2 linked regions of the Elephas maximus indicus genome follow. The protein of the gene in region 1 interacts with the protein of each later gene in a biochemical or structural test. Links are inferred from orthologs where the notes say so. Each region holds a gene or a part of one and is shown on either strand. Other genes may lie near its edges.

Region 1 (7,037 bases):
AATAAGGATAAGGAAGAAAAGTACCTGGAGAAGGTCTACAGTTTTAATATATTCAAGTGTCTGTGATTATGTTATTAATGAGGCACTCCTATTTCTCTCCAAGAACATGTGATCTTGCAAAGGACATACGTATCTACTAACCTAAATATATACAAATCCACGTCTAAAAGCTTACTAAAAAAAGCCCCAAACCCATTGACGTCTAGCCGATTCTGACTCATAGTGACCCTATAGTACTACCCATAGGGTTTCCAAGGAGTGGTTGGTGGATTCAAACTGCTGACCTTTTGGTTAGCTGCCAAACTCTTAACCACTGTGCTACCAGGGCTCCCTAATAGCCTACAATACTTATTAATTGCCTAGTGGGGACAAGGAAAAAAGTAGGTTTATAGCCTGACTTCTAAGAAACTAATAATATCTATAAAACTTCCCTTTCAATTTGAAAAACATATATCTTTCCCTAACACAGTCTTTGTCTATTCAAAACCATTGAATGGGTCTTTCTAATTGAATTGGTAGGCTGTCAACTGTTTTAATAACGTATATCTGCACAATCAAATCAGGTGTGATACAGTGATTAAAGGAGCTTGGTATACCTCGAAGCTTATGTCTAAGTAATGGCTATTCCCTTTCATGGGTTATTCGCAGCCCCTACTACCCATTTACAGACTGGGATGTAGAAAAGGCTTGGTACGCAGAGCCTCCAGACCTCTCTGACTACACGTGCTCTCTAAGAATAATGGAAATGAGGCCACCGTTTTCCCTGTGTCAGGCAGTGGTCAGCGTAAGTAGGAATACCAACTGGCAGGCATACAAAATCTAAATGCTTTCCCTGCTGGATCAGGTGGCAGTTTGCAGTAAAACTAATATCCTGAACATTCATTTGCTATTTGCAAGTCAGGGAATACTTGAGAGGATGTTTCATACACGTGTTGAGGATGCTGCTTTCCTAGGAAGAAAAATCTCTGACTTTTGGACTAGAGTGTATAGAAAGTCGTTACCAAATTTTACTCGGGTCTGTGGTGTGGTTTCCAAATTTCGAGATGTAAATAAGGACTCTATATTCTATGATGACAGGCTCCGTGATGACTTATTCGCTTTAGTGCCTGCCATATAGTATCCATTCAATAAATACTTCTTGAATAAATAAATGAATAAATGAATAAGTAGTGGGTTTTCTTAATGGCAGTGGCAGTATTATCCTCTCATTTTGAAGAACTTCTCTGGCTCTAACCAAAAACACAGTTGACAGTGACTCTTTTAAATGCCGCTGAACTTTGCTTAAGCAAAACCAACATATGAAAATATGGATTCGCAAAACAAACAAATTAAAGGATGATTATATGCTTTCCAATTAAGTGGAAATATGCCTTAATGCAATAGATTCCTAAATGCTGGCCTGTAATGAACTTTTCTCAGGTTCATAGTGAACGAAAAAAAAAAAAAAATCAGGGTTATTTATTGTTTCTCTTTAATAAAGTGAGGGGGATCATCTTTGGCAGTTTTTCCTTTTTAATGCCCTTACTTGCCAAAATAAAGTTGCCAACCCTGTATCGGCTCCCCAGTTTTCTGAAAAGTATTTTATTGGTTGATGAAATCTTGGGAGATAAATTTTAAAATATGATTCATTTTGCAATAGCATACAAGTTTTTTTTTTTTAAACCTACATATTGAATAAAGATAAACCATTATCTGTGGGTATAAACTTGGCCTTGATGCCCATGATCATAGTAGTCAACAAGTGTCCAGAGGGTACTGTGTGGTGAGCATTGCTCTCAGGCCTTTCTAAAATGCCTCAACTCATTTAAATCTCTTATCAGCCCAACTAGGAGGTACTATTATATCCTCCTTTTACAAATGAGGAATTCTAGGCACAAACAAGTCAAGCTCTTGCCCCCAAAACCATGTAACTTAGCTAGTAAAGGGGCAAAGTAGGAATTCAAACCAAAGACTCCAGAACATATATTCTTTTATTACAAAGAAATTGAGCCATAACAGTACAACCAATAGAAAAGCATTGGTTGTTATTGTATTCTATTGACTATGGAAATGAGTTTCTATTAGCACACAGATTATAAACTCCTAATGAAGACTCCTATTATCATATGTTAATGCAGAGCCTTTCCCAATCTTCGCTTATTGTCCCAGTTCTTGATGACCTATTTTTAGCTTCAGTATTTACAGATATTGCCTCAAGCAACATTCTCATTTATGTTTTGATGAGTAAGATCAAAAAAACAAAAACAAGAAAATATATTTTCAGTGTGGCAGGTCAACCAAGTAAGGGCTGAAAGCACAACACTCATAAATTCAGTCACCAGGATTAAGTTAATTTAGGGCAATTTAACCTAATATTAAATAAAAAAGTATATTTGAATTCACCTAATAAATTTGGCCTAAAAAAAAATTAAAACCTCAGCTCCCAAATGTCGATACACGTGCCAACAATAGTTTCTCATTTAAAATGTGAAGATAAAAAAATTCAGTGGAAACTCACACATTCCCCTGAAGAGTCTGAAACCTAACTATAACACTTGGGCAAGCATTTAAAATCAGGAAACTCATAGTAAATGAAAAGCAAAACTTATGAGTCAAATTAAATGTTTTGAGTATAAAAACTTTGGAATTTAAGGCAGACTGAATTAAAACAATAATGGTTTTAAAAACCTACAATGATCCTAGTGATGGTAAAAATGATTTGGCACGTTCAAGATGGGTTTCTATCATTCCATCTTCCTTCTATTTAATGTCGTTTACCAAATATTGCACTACATTAAGGGAGTTGTCATTTTATTTCAATGGTAATCGGAAAACAGGTTTTAACACTAATAAACCCTGGGTCCCCAGAAAAATCTCAGTGGATCAAGAGGTCCTGGAGCTTTTGCAACTTAAGCAAACTCTGGATTAACATCTCCACTCTTTGACCTGAGATCTGGGGTGTGCACATATTGCCCAAAAACCTTGTTAAGCATACAGGGCCCTGATTTCCGACACTGCAGGTAACTCCTGCACAAACTCTTCTTTCAACTTTTAAGTCTCTATTCAAGACTCGACGGCAATGGGTTTGGACCCATCCCTAGTCCTCATGCCCTAGAAAGACACAAGAACCAGTTCTAGGACATAGCTATCCACTTTGCACCACACGCTGCTCCCAGATACTGGCCTCCTGCCGCCCCAGCCCAGCCCAGCCCAGCCCAGCCCAGCCAGCGAAACCCAGCCCAACCGCATCTAGCCCCACAGTCCTATTCTGGCTCGCCGAGTTTCCCCCGCCCACTTCGCTCACGTGACCAGGACTCCCCGCCCCCCCGACCACGCGCCCCTTTCCACGCTCCACCAATCAGCAACGTCCTGCTCAGAACCAGGGCTCCGACGCTCGAGTTTCGAGAAGGCAGCACAGTCTTCCCGCCCTCAGCCCCGCCCCTCTCCTCCTCCCCATCTCGCTGGCCCCGCCCACTTCCCCCAACTCTCCGTTTCCCTACTCCCGCCTCTCTGTCCCCGCCCACTCCCGGGCTTCGCCCCGCCCCACCAAAGGCCGCGCGCGCTAGCCTCCTTCTCGCGAGAACTGACGTCCCCGCCGCGGCCGCCCGCGTCCCTTTCCCGTCCTCCCACCCCCCTCCCCCCAATCTCTCCACTCTCCGGCTCTCCTCCCTCCCTCCTCCCCCCTCCACCCTCTGGGCCGGATCTCGTCTCGCTGAGGCGGAGGAGGAGAAGGAGGAGGAGGAGGACGTTCGGCCTGCGCAGTGAGATGTTTGTCCGTCGCCGCCGCCGCCGCCATCGCGGAGGAGCGCGATAAAGGGTGCTGAGCCGGGTGTGAGGGGGACCCCGCGGAGCCTCCGCGCTAGCGCAGCCCCGCAGCCGAGACCGAGCCGCCGAGCCCGAGCCGCCGCCGCCGCCCCCGCCGCTGCGGCCGCCCACGGGCCGGCCAGCTCCCCCAGCCCAGCCCGGGGGCCGCGCCGCCGCCGCCCCCAGCGTCGCCCCTCGCCCGCCCGCCCGCCCGCCTTAAATGTGACACCGGCGCCTCGGAGCGCGACCTGAAGCCACTGCCGGGGAGGGGACGAGCACCATGTCGAATCTGAGCAAAGGCACGGGCAGCCGGAAGGACACCAAGATGCGGATCCGGGCCTTTCCGGTGAGTCTCTAGTCGGCGCCCGGGACCCCGGGGGCCCGGCCGTGAGCCGCACGCGAGGCCCGGGCTGAACTCCCCCAACAGGCCGCAGGCCCGGCCTCCCCTCCCCCACGCCTCTGGCCGCGGGGCGCGAGCCTGCCGGCAACCGGGCGGCAAGGGGACCGGCGCGGCCGCCTCCCACCCCGCGCCCCGCAGCTGGGACTCCCGCGGGCCCGCGGGCGTTGGCTGCGGCCGGAGCCCCTCGCTGGTCCCCACACCTTTCCGCGTTGCTGGGGTGTAGGCCCTATCCCCTGCACTCGTCTTCCGACTCGGTACCCGGGACCCCGAGTCCTGCAGGGATGGGAACTGGCGAAGTCTTCCTTGTGTGTGGGGTGTGTGTAACTTTTCACGTGGGGTTTCGCTGCGGCTTAAAAAATCACCCAGCCCAAATGACGGCCAAGCATTTAGGGTGATGAAGGGGACTGTTTCTCTCTCTCTCTCTCCCGGCCTCCTTAGGCAGGGTTATGCCTTCAACCTGCCACCGACGCAGTGACAGTGGTTCCACGTAATACACAATGGTAATAGCCTAATAGAATGGGCTGTATTGATAGCATCTTTCATCCCATAAGCTTCCAAAGCACCTCACAAACTCTGCTGTAGGAATTGCCTCACCAAGGAGATGCAAGAGAAAACAAATTGGATGGCTCGCCCTTGGTTTCATAGCCTTGGAAGCCCAAGAGAATGAGTATAGTCACCACCCTGAGTTGCTTTACTCTCTTCGTTTTAGTAACAGCAAACCTGCTCGGTTCGAAACTTTTTCTTTTTTGGTGTTGAATCATACGTTTGTTTAGTGTTTAGAACATAACTTTTGATGTCATACCTGATTCATATAGTCAGTGGCAACCGATTAAAATGTATTGCTGTAATAGAGAGACTGGACATAGTTGCTCATGTCGCTACAGTAACAGACATATATCAGGATAGACAAACTAGCAATTGAGCTAGAATTGATTTAAAAACTAGAGAAGGATCTCGGTTTTCCTTAGAACCATAAACACCATGTGGGGAGAAAAGGGGGGGGTACTTGTACTATTATTTAAGTATGCTTTTTTTTTTAAAGTGTACTATTTGCAGCCAGGGAAGACTTATTAATTTTCCTCGTTGCATGAGGAATTTCACCCCACAAAACTTGAGAACCTCTCTGAATTCTTAATTAAAAAAAAAAAGAATACATTTGATGCAAAACGCTGAAATCGCAAGACCATAAATACTACTGTCAATGTGTAGAAAACACTAACGTCAGTGTGTGGAAACTTCTGTCTTTAGGTAAACAAAGGTCGGATAGAAAGACTAGAACTGCCCAATAGAGTTTCCAAGGCTGTAAAAGAGTAGAATATAATGAGGGGAGAATTTGATACTAATTAAAGAGGTTTTGTGATTAAAGAGGTTTTGAATTTTTGAAGTTTTTCCTTGGTACGAGAAACTACATCAGACACTCAGAGATGTTGACAAAGGAGCACTAATGAAGTTCGCTTGCATGTTTTCCCTTATAATGGGGGAAAAGAGCTGGATTTTTGAATGCGTGAGCAAAGTTTTCCTACTAGTTCAGTTCTGACCATTTTAAGCAGCGTTTAGAATATTTGTTTTATACAGCAGGTGTTCTGGGATATGTTTGCTATCTTACATTGCTCATTCTTGAAGACTGAACTCTTCTAATTCATATTTATTGCTAAAATATGGAATAGCTCACGTTTGATGTCAGCTCACTTCTTATGTTAATATTTTTCTGATTACCCAGTTGTCTGTTGTATCTTTATCTATGTGTATAATCAACTCTTTGATCTTTTTAGATTTGTGGGTTCTTACCTATTCCTCCCTCCATTCATTCAGCATATATTTACTGAGTACTGTGTCAGGCTCTGTTCTAGGGTCTTGGAATATAGCAGTATAGCTTTAAAGACCAAGATCCCTGCTTTCTGGAGCATGTATTGTTGAAGGGAAGGAGTGGGAGTGAATTTCATTATTCATTTAGCTGAAGAGTATAATATTATGTGATAGGTTAGCATTTTTTTTTTTTTTTAGCATATAGTACTGGACTGATTTTTTTTTTTTTGGTAGCATTATGGTTATGCACTGAAATAGATCCTTTAAGTCTGTACTTTGTTGCATTGTAAGTTTTTCTAAAATCCTTTAATTAAGTTTGATATTCAGTAAAAAGATTGCTAGTTTTTAAAAGTGCAAGAATTTTCATTACGCTTTAATAAGTATTGACACTATCATTCATAAATAGTTCCCACAGGAAAGAGCTATTCTTTTTTTAATGTAAATTTTTTAGTCATAGTTCCTTGCGCCTTCATTAAGGATAAATGGCTCAGTGGTACCCCATGTCACTGACTTACTCATCCTTTGGTATTTGAGCACTTGTAGATCTTTTTTCTTGTAGGTTAGCAACCTTGACTACGTAACTAGTCGGCATGGCTGTATGGTCAGAAGTAGTAGATGTATTACATTCCATAAAGAAAAAATACTGTGTATGTGTACATATGTATATGTACATAGTTACAATTATAGAATTTTACATGTTTGGATTATATAGTTTCTGTAAGTTAAGGGAGAAACCTTGGTGGCGTAGTGATTAAGCAGTATGGCTGCTGACCGAAACGTCAGCAGTTTGAATCCACCATGCGCTTCTTGGAAACTGTATGGGGCAGTTCTGCTCTGTCCTGTAGGGTCGCTATGAGCCAAAATTGACTTGATAGCAACAGGTTTTTTTTTTTTTTTTTGGTGTAAGCTAAAGGAAGTTGCGGTAATTTACCCAAAGGTCTCAAGTATTCACTTCAGATCATGTTTCACAAAATTGATGTGTAAACAGTATAAAAATAGGTTTTGGGAGCATTTTTTCATTGCAAAATAGAGTGGTGAGTGAACGTAC
Region 2 (7,376 bases), on another chromosome or scaffold:
ACACAGGCGAGCGGCCGTTCGTGTGCGGTGAGTGCGGCCGCAGCTTCAGCCGCAGCTCACACCTGCTGCGCCACCAGCTCACGCACACCGAGGAGCGGCCGTTCGTATGCAGCGACTGCGGTCGGGGCTTCGTGCGCAGCGCACGCCTGGAGGAGCACCGGCGCGTGCACACGGGCGAGCAGCCCTTCTGCTGCACGGAGTGTGGCCAGAGCTTCCGGCAGCGCTCCAACCTGCTGCAGCATCAGCGCATCCACGGCGACCCCCCAGGCCCCGGCGCCGCGCCCCCTGCACCGCCCAGCGCGCCTGAGCCCCCAGGCCCCTTCCCCTGCAGCGAATGCCGTGAGAGCTTCACGCGGCGCGCCGTGTTGCTAGAGCACCAGGCGGTTCACACAGGCGACAAGTCCTTCGGCTGCGTGGAGTGCGGCGAGCGCTTCGGCCGCCGCTCGGTGCTGCTGCAGCACCGGCGGGTGCATAGCAGCGACCGGCCCTTCGCCTGCGCCGAGTGCGGCCAGAGCTTCCGGCAGCGCTCCAACCTCACACAGCACAGGCGCATCCACACCGGTGAGCGGCCCTTCACCTGCGCGGAGTGCGGCAAGGCTTTCCGCCAGCGACCCACGCTCACACAGCACCTGCGCGTTCACACGGGCGAGAAGCCCTTTGTCTGCCCCGAGTGCGGCCAGCGCTTCAGCCAGCGCCTCAAGCTCACGCGCCACCAGCGTACACACACCGGGGAGAAGCCCTACCACTGCAGCGAGTGTGGCATGGGCTTCACACAGGTCTCCCGGCTCACCGAGCACCAGCGAATCCACACGGGAGAGCGGCCCTTTGCCTGCCCTGAGTGTGGCCAGAGCTTCCGACAGCACGCCAACCTAACGCAGCACCGGCGCATCCACACGGGCGAGCGACCTTATGCCTGCCCGGAGTGCGGCAAGGCCTTCCGTCAGCGGCCCACACTCACACAGCACTTGCGTACCCACTGTCGTGAGAAGCCCTTTGCCTGCCAGGACTGTGGCCGCCGCTTCCACCAGAGTACCAAGTTCATCCAGCACCAGCGTGTCCACAGTGCAGAGTAACCCAGCCCAGCAAGCAGGGCTTGCCTCTCTGCGCATCAGTTCTTCCTCTGTCCATGGGGCAGAACACCTACCTCACAGGATTGCTGTGAGGCCAGCTGTTGCATGGGTACAAGTATAGGCATGAGCTGGCCAGCCCAGTGCCCGGCCCCAGTAGGTGCTCAATAAAGCCAAAAGAAAATTGGGTCCTCTCCACCCACATGGTTCCTCTGAAGGCCACAGCCCCTGAAAAGGTGGAGATGGCTCCTACTGTCACCTTCCCCAACCTGCGTAGACACCCCTGGTACCAGGGCCCCACCTGCAGTTCTAGCTTAGGAAGGGTGAATAGCCCAGAAATAGTGGTGTAGACAGGAAGTGGCAGAGCAGTCCAGCTTCAGCTCTGCCTAGACACCAGCCCTGTCTCCGAAACCCACAGAAGAGGAAATGTAGCATGTGAGCACCTGCAGAGAGTCCGCCACTTCTGGCCTTCATCAGTCTTGGTCCAGTCAGGAGACAAGCTACAAGAAGTGTTTTAACAGGGAATTTCATATGAAGAATACCAGGTATTAGCTTATTGATGGGAAACTGAAAAGGGTTAAAAAAAAAAAAAAAAAACTAAGCTGTTGTGGAGGTAGGAACTACAGGGAGCAGCTGCACTCCTAGGGCTGGAAGAACAAAGGAAAGTATTGTAACTTAGAAGCTTCGATGAGTTCTTCATGGAGCTCAAACTCAGGTCCTTGAGGAGGAGGAGGCACCATGGGCTTAGGATGAGACCCTTGAGGAGGGGGCACTGGTGTGTCTCTAAGGAGTCTGATGAACCTAGTTCTGGGAAGTGTGGAAACAACCTGGCACCAACTCATGTCTCTGGAAGGACCTGCTGCAGCCAGGGGGAAAAGGTATTGCTGGCTGCCTAACGGGGGATGAAGTACCTTCTCCTTTTCTATGCCCTGTAGTGCCCAGACCCTAACAAGGAGCTGCTGGCCAAGAGGGGTGTGTTTGTGGGGCCCCCGCCCTGTGCTGTGACGCCAAGGTGGGCAGATCTGGAGCACAAACGAGGGAACTTAACAGGCAGTCCAGTATTGAAGCCAGGGGACACTGGGGAAGTTCCAGCCATGTTGACCTCACATCTGAGCTCTTTGAGACCTCTGAGGCCCCATCTTCACCCCAGCACTCAGTCTTAGAAATGATGGTTGCGTACTGAGCCTGGGACAATCAGAGGACTAAAGGCTCGGTTGAGAGGCATCAGCCTGGAAGTGCCCTGAAGCCCTGGGGGTGGGGAAATAGACCTTTGGGGGACAACTTAGGCGGCTCCGGACAGCTTTGGGACTCAGCATGGATAACAGAGGAGAAAGGCCTTCAGGGGAGAGCGACAGAAGAGGCAGGTGGGATCAGACCAAGGGCCCAAAGTGGCCAAGAGGTGCCCAGGCACACCTACACCTCCGAGTAGGTGGGGGCGGGAATAGCAAAAGTCCGAGAAAGTGGGGGCGACTCCACCGAGGTGAGGACAGGGAGTCAGTGTGGATGCCACGCCAGGGTTAAGGAGTGTGGGGGCAGCTCCCGAGGTGAGGATAGACAGCAGGGGAGGGGTCCGTGAGCACACCATTCGACCACACCATTCCCCCTCGCCCCCTCGCCCGGGATTGCCCGCGCTAGGTCTCCCACAATGCTCCCGTCGGCGACGTCGCGTCGCGACGGTGACGCACTCCCGAAGCTGCCTTCGGACTCTTGAAGAGCTGAGCGGTCCAGCCTCGGCCACCCACCCCGCCCGGCTCCCAGCACCGGCAGAGCCTCGCGGCGCGTCTAACCCACTAAACGGTTTTCTCGGTGAGCCCGCGGTTGCCGTGGTGACGGCCGGATGTAGCAGAATCTCCTGGCACCATTTCCTCCCGGAAACCCTGGTGGCCTAGTGGTTAAGTGCTATGGCTGTTAACCAAAAGATCCGCAGTGCAAATCCACCAGGCGCTCCTTGGAAACTCTACGGGGCAGTTCTACTCTGTCCTATAGGGTCGCTTTGAGTCGGAATCCACTCGACCGCAGTGGATTAGTGGGTTTCATTTCCTCCGCCCTCTGACGGACGCCGAGCTGTGATTGGAGAGGAGCATGACGCCCCCGTACACAACGCCCCGCCTCTGGCAGCAAGGAAGGGTCGCCAAAGGCCGGAGTGCGCCTGCGCTGGAGATCGAGCCCGCGCCAGCCCCCTCAACTCCCTCGTCCGAGTCCACCCCGGAGTCTTTCCTGACCACCCCTGACGATCTGCATAGTGCTTACCGCTCTCTGCCATAATATATGTTTTATTTGTTAGTTGACCTCAGCTAAAACGTCCATGAGTAGGGGTCTTTTGAGTTTGCGATGGGACACTAAGGGTGCCCAACACCACACCCTCTTGGCAGGGCCCCCAGCCTCACCCAGGCTCTGGTCGGCGCGATCACCTTGTTTATGTGGCATCCGGGAATAGAGACATCGTCTCACCTACACCAGCCGCTCTCTACATGCGTGCAAGCGAAGGTGCTCCACGCTCATGCACAAGTGGGGATGGCCGCACAGCGAGAGAGGCGGCGAGTATCTGCCCCATTCAAACATGGCCGGGGCACCTCCTATCCGGGCCCAAGATTATCTCCGGAACCGTTCGCGGGATCGGAGACCTAGTCTAGGACCCCATGAACGGAAATACCCGAGCCGAGCCGAGCCGAAGGAGCCCGAACTCCAAACTCCACTGAGCAACGCCATTCGCCCGAAGCAGCGGCTGCGCAGGCGCAGCACAGACCGGGCGGAAAGAGCCGAAGCGGGGAGGCGGCGGAAATACCCGAAGTGGATGGGCGCCCGAGGCCGTTGCCGGCCTCCGCTTTGGACCTGCTGCTGCCTGCGAAGCGGAGCCTCCTCCAGGATACGTGCGCCGCCACCGCGGCCGCCGCCTCCTCCTTCACGCCGAACCGCAGCCCCCTCGCGAAAGGAGCGAGTAAGCAAGCACAGCGTCCGCAGCTGCAGCTGGGCCTGAACAGACTTGAGCCGGCGAGGGGGAGGAGGGAGCGGCCTGGTGGGGGCGGAGCCGAGCGCCGCCGAGAACAGCCGAGTCGACCCGAGAACCGCCGAGTCTACCCGAGCGCTCCCGAGGACCAGGACCAGGCCAGAGCCGGACTACGGGAGCCGAGGCGGGCCGCTCGGTGGGCGCGGAGCAGCGCGGCGAGCCGGGCAGACGGCGGCAGCGGCGGAGGAGGCCGCAGCGGCGGGTCTGAGAAGCGGAGGCGGCTCGGGCGGCGGCGGGGGGCCGGGTGGCCGGGGTCCCGGGCCCCGCGGCGGCGGCGACGGAGGCGGCGGCGGCAGGATGATCAAGCTGTTCTCGCTGAAGCAGCAGAAGAAGGAGGAGGAGTCGGCCGGCGGCACCAAGGGCAGCAGCAAGAAGGCGTCGGCGGCGCAGCTGCGGATCCAGAAGGGTAGGGTGTGGGGATCGGGCAATGGGGGGTGGGGACCGGGGGGTCGGAGGTCAGGTTCTAGGGATGGGGTATCAGGAGCTGGGTAATGCAGACACCTGGGGTCGGAGGTCAGAGGTGGGGGGTAGGGTGATCTGGTGGGTGAGAGGTGGGGTGATGCGGTCGTGGGGGCGGTCAGAGATGGGGGCCGGGGATAGATTTATGATATGAGGAAGGCCAAGTGAGGAAGGGTATGAGGGACTCGGGAATCTGAGGGGCAGGGGAGGGAGGGGAGACAGGCGGCTGGGAACTCACAGGTCTGGGACTCAGGCGAGAACCTGAGTTCGGGGTGAGAGAGGGATGGCGGGGGAGATTTAGAGTATCATGTTGGAAACAGTGAGAATCTCGGAGTCAGATGGAGTGGGGTCGGGTTAGGGGTGCCAGGAATTTGTGGGTCTTTGGGGTGACAGATAGATGAGGGAGGGATGATGGAGGCCTCTGACTGTGGTGAGGGAAAATTCAGGGAATTGGAGTGGGGAATCAGGTCTCCTGAGTTTGGCTGGGCATGGGGGGATGGGCAGTGTCCACTGGAGAGAAGTCATGGCTGGGGAACCCGACGTTTGGAGTGGTCAGAGGCTGTTTCAACCTAGGGTGCTGGGGACCGGGGACTTGGGCAGCAGGTGGGTGGGCCGCATGGGGGTGGGTACACTTAGGATCTCAATTGGTGGACTCAAATATTGGAGACTGAAAACATACATAAGAGCAGGGAGTTCAGCCTGGGTCAGGAGCCAGGACTCAAAGCTGCATCTTAAGGTGCACAATTGGGGTATGCTGTGGATCCAGAAGATCCCATCTCTGGGATGAGGGAAGGCCCACCAGCAAGGACAGGACAAGGGTTGGGGGTGTAGGGCTCAGAATGAGGCCCAGGAGTCCACGAGGAGACCATGGGGCCTCTGCTGGCACCTGCCCTGAGTGCCCTCCTCTCTGTCCCCCTTTTCTGCTGCCCAAACCCAGACATAAACGAGCTGAACTTGCCCAAGACCTGTGATATCAACTTTTCAGACCCGGACGATCTCCTCAACTTCAAGCTGGTCATCTGTCCCGATGAGGTGAGGGACCCTATCTGCCTGGGTCCCCTAGACAGACCCTAGGTGGCCCCACCACAGGGAGGGGGACCCAGCCTGTCTGCCAGGCCCATACACAACTGGGCCCTGACGTTTCTTCTTTTCTCCCACTGACAGGGCTTCTACAAAAGTGGGAAGTTTGTGTTCAGTTTTAAGGTGAGTCCCAGGCAGGCAGGGGCAGCAGCTCCCTGGGCTGAGGAGGAGGCGGCTGAGGCGCCAACCAGGCCCTGACAGGCACCTTACCCACCTCTTCTCTCTTCTCCCCCGAGGTGGGTCAGGGTTACCCACATGACCCCCCCAAGGTGAAGTGTGAGACAATGGTCTATCATCCCAACATCGACCTCGAGGGCAATGTCTGCCTCAACATCCTCAGGTAAGGTGCTGACCCCCTGCTGCCCTCCTGTACCCCAGCCCTGCCTCTAGACCTCCCTCATGGGCTCTAGGTCTGTCTCTTTTCCTTCTCTCCTTTAACAGTCTGTGTCCCACTGTCCCTTCCATCTCCACATATTCTTCCTCGTGGCCTGGTTTTTTCCTTGGCCTGTACTCTGCACATTCCCTCCAGCCTCACATCCCCACTCTCCCATGCCCTGTGCCTCATCTGTGGAGTCCCAACAGGGACCACAGCAGCCACCTGCTTAGCAGCCCCTGACCCTGATACTCTGTCCGCAGAGAGGACTGGAAGCCAGTCCTTACGATAAACTCCATAATTTATGGTCTGCAGTATCTCTTCTTGGTGAGTAGGTGCGGGCAAGGCTTGGGGCTGTGGGAGGTTGACCTGGCCCCTCTGCCCCTTCAGCCTGCTGACCCATTCCTTGCTGGCTGCAGGAGCCCAACCCCGAGGACCCACTGAACAAGGAAGCTGCTGAGGTCCTGCAGAACAACCGACGGCTGTTTGAGCAGAATGTGCAGCGCTCTATGCGGGGTGGCTACATCGGCTCCACCTATTTCGAGCGCTGCCTCAAATAGGATTGGCGCCCATCCCACCCCCGCCAGGGCTACCACCCCGGCGTCCCCTGCAAATATTTATTGGGGGCCACAGGTGGGGGATGTGGGGCGGCCGGTGGGGGGTTGTCGCCCACCCTGGCCTTGCCTCCCCTCCCTGCCACCTACCCCTTGTTATTTTTTTTTAACCACCATGTGATTAAGGTCAGCGCTGCCTCCCCCGACCTGCTCAGCGATGGGAAATGAATTGGCTTGTCTAGCCCCCCGCTGGGTGCTGTCCAGCCCCCCACACTGGGCACTGGGATGGGTAGACAAGGGGGTCTGTGTAGCTGGGGCCCCAGCATCCTACCCCTCTGCCACTGGAGGTCCCACCTGGCTATTAAAGGGGAATGTTACTGCATGGCCTCTGTATCTTCTTCGTTCTGTGGGGCGGGAGGGGCAGGTGGGGTCCACCACCAATACCTGGTTGTGGGGCCTTGGCTCAACAGGCCAGTGTGTGGTGGTTATAGATGGCGTTGGGGAACCCTGAGCAGGCCATGCAATGCCTGGGGCAGCCATGGGGAGAGTAGGACCTGAAATTCTTGGGGTGGCTGGGATGAAGCCTATCTTGGGATGAATGAGGGACAGGAGCTGGTGATCACCAGCTGGCCAGCAGAGCTGGCATGGGGCCATGGTGGTAGATATGTGCCACTCCCAGTTCTGCCCCCTTCTACCTTGGTTGAGCTTGTGGGGAGGACCCTGCCTAATGCGACTAGTGCTTGAGACACTGGGGGACTGAGTTTGGCCCTTGGGCTGATGTCAGGGGTGTTAGACCCCTGTGGTGGCTTCCCCGTACAGGGAGGAGGCTGGGCACT

Evidence for each region. The genes of interacting proteins can lie anywhere in the genome.
Region 2: the proteins of CUL3 (region 1) and UBE2M form a complex in vitro, tested with the Homo sapiens proteins (2 studies listed by BioGRID, with this or other methods). The link is inferred for Elephas maximus indicus from reciprocal best matches to the Homo sapiens genes CUL3 and UBE2M.

What each region holds. Positions count from the first base shown.
Region 1 is NC_064824.1:123,855,249-123,862,285, reverse strand, and holds the start of CUL3 (cullin-3), read left to right. Parts: upstream 1-4,000; 5' UTR 4,001-4,063; coding exon 4,064-4,129; intron 4,130-7,037. UniProt on the Homo sapiens protein: Core component of multiple cullin-RING-based BCR (BTB-CUL3-RBX1) E3 ubiquitin-protein ligase complexes which mediate the ubiquitination and subsequent proteasomal degradation of target proteins.
Region 2 is NC_064829.1:87,254,364-87,261,739, forward strand, and holds UBE2M (NEDD8-conjugating enzyme Ubc12), read left to right. Parts: upstream 1-4,298; 5' UTR 4,299-4,371; coding exon 4,372-4,480; intron 4,481-5,470; coding exon 5,471-5,565; intron 5,566-5,697; coding exon 5,698-5,736; intron 5,737-5,849; coding exon 5,850-5,953; intron 5,954-6,249; coding exon 6,250-6,313; intron 6,314-6,405; coding exon 6,406-6,546; 3' UTR 6,547-6,960; downstream 6,961-7,376. Other genes in the region: MZF1 (myeloid zinc finger 1), read left to right, coding at 1-1,073.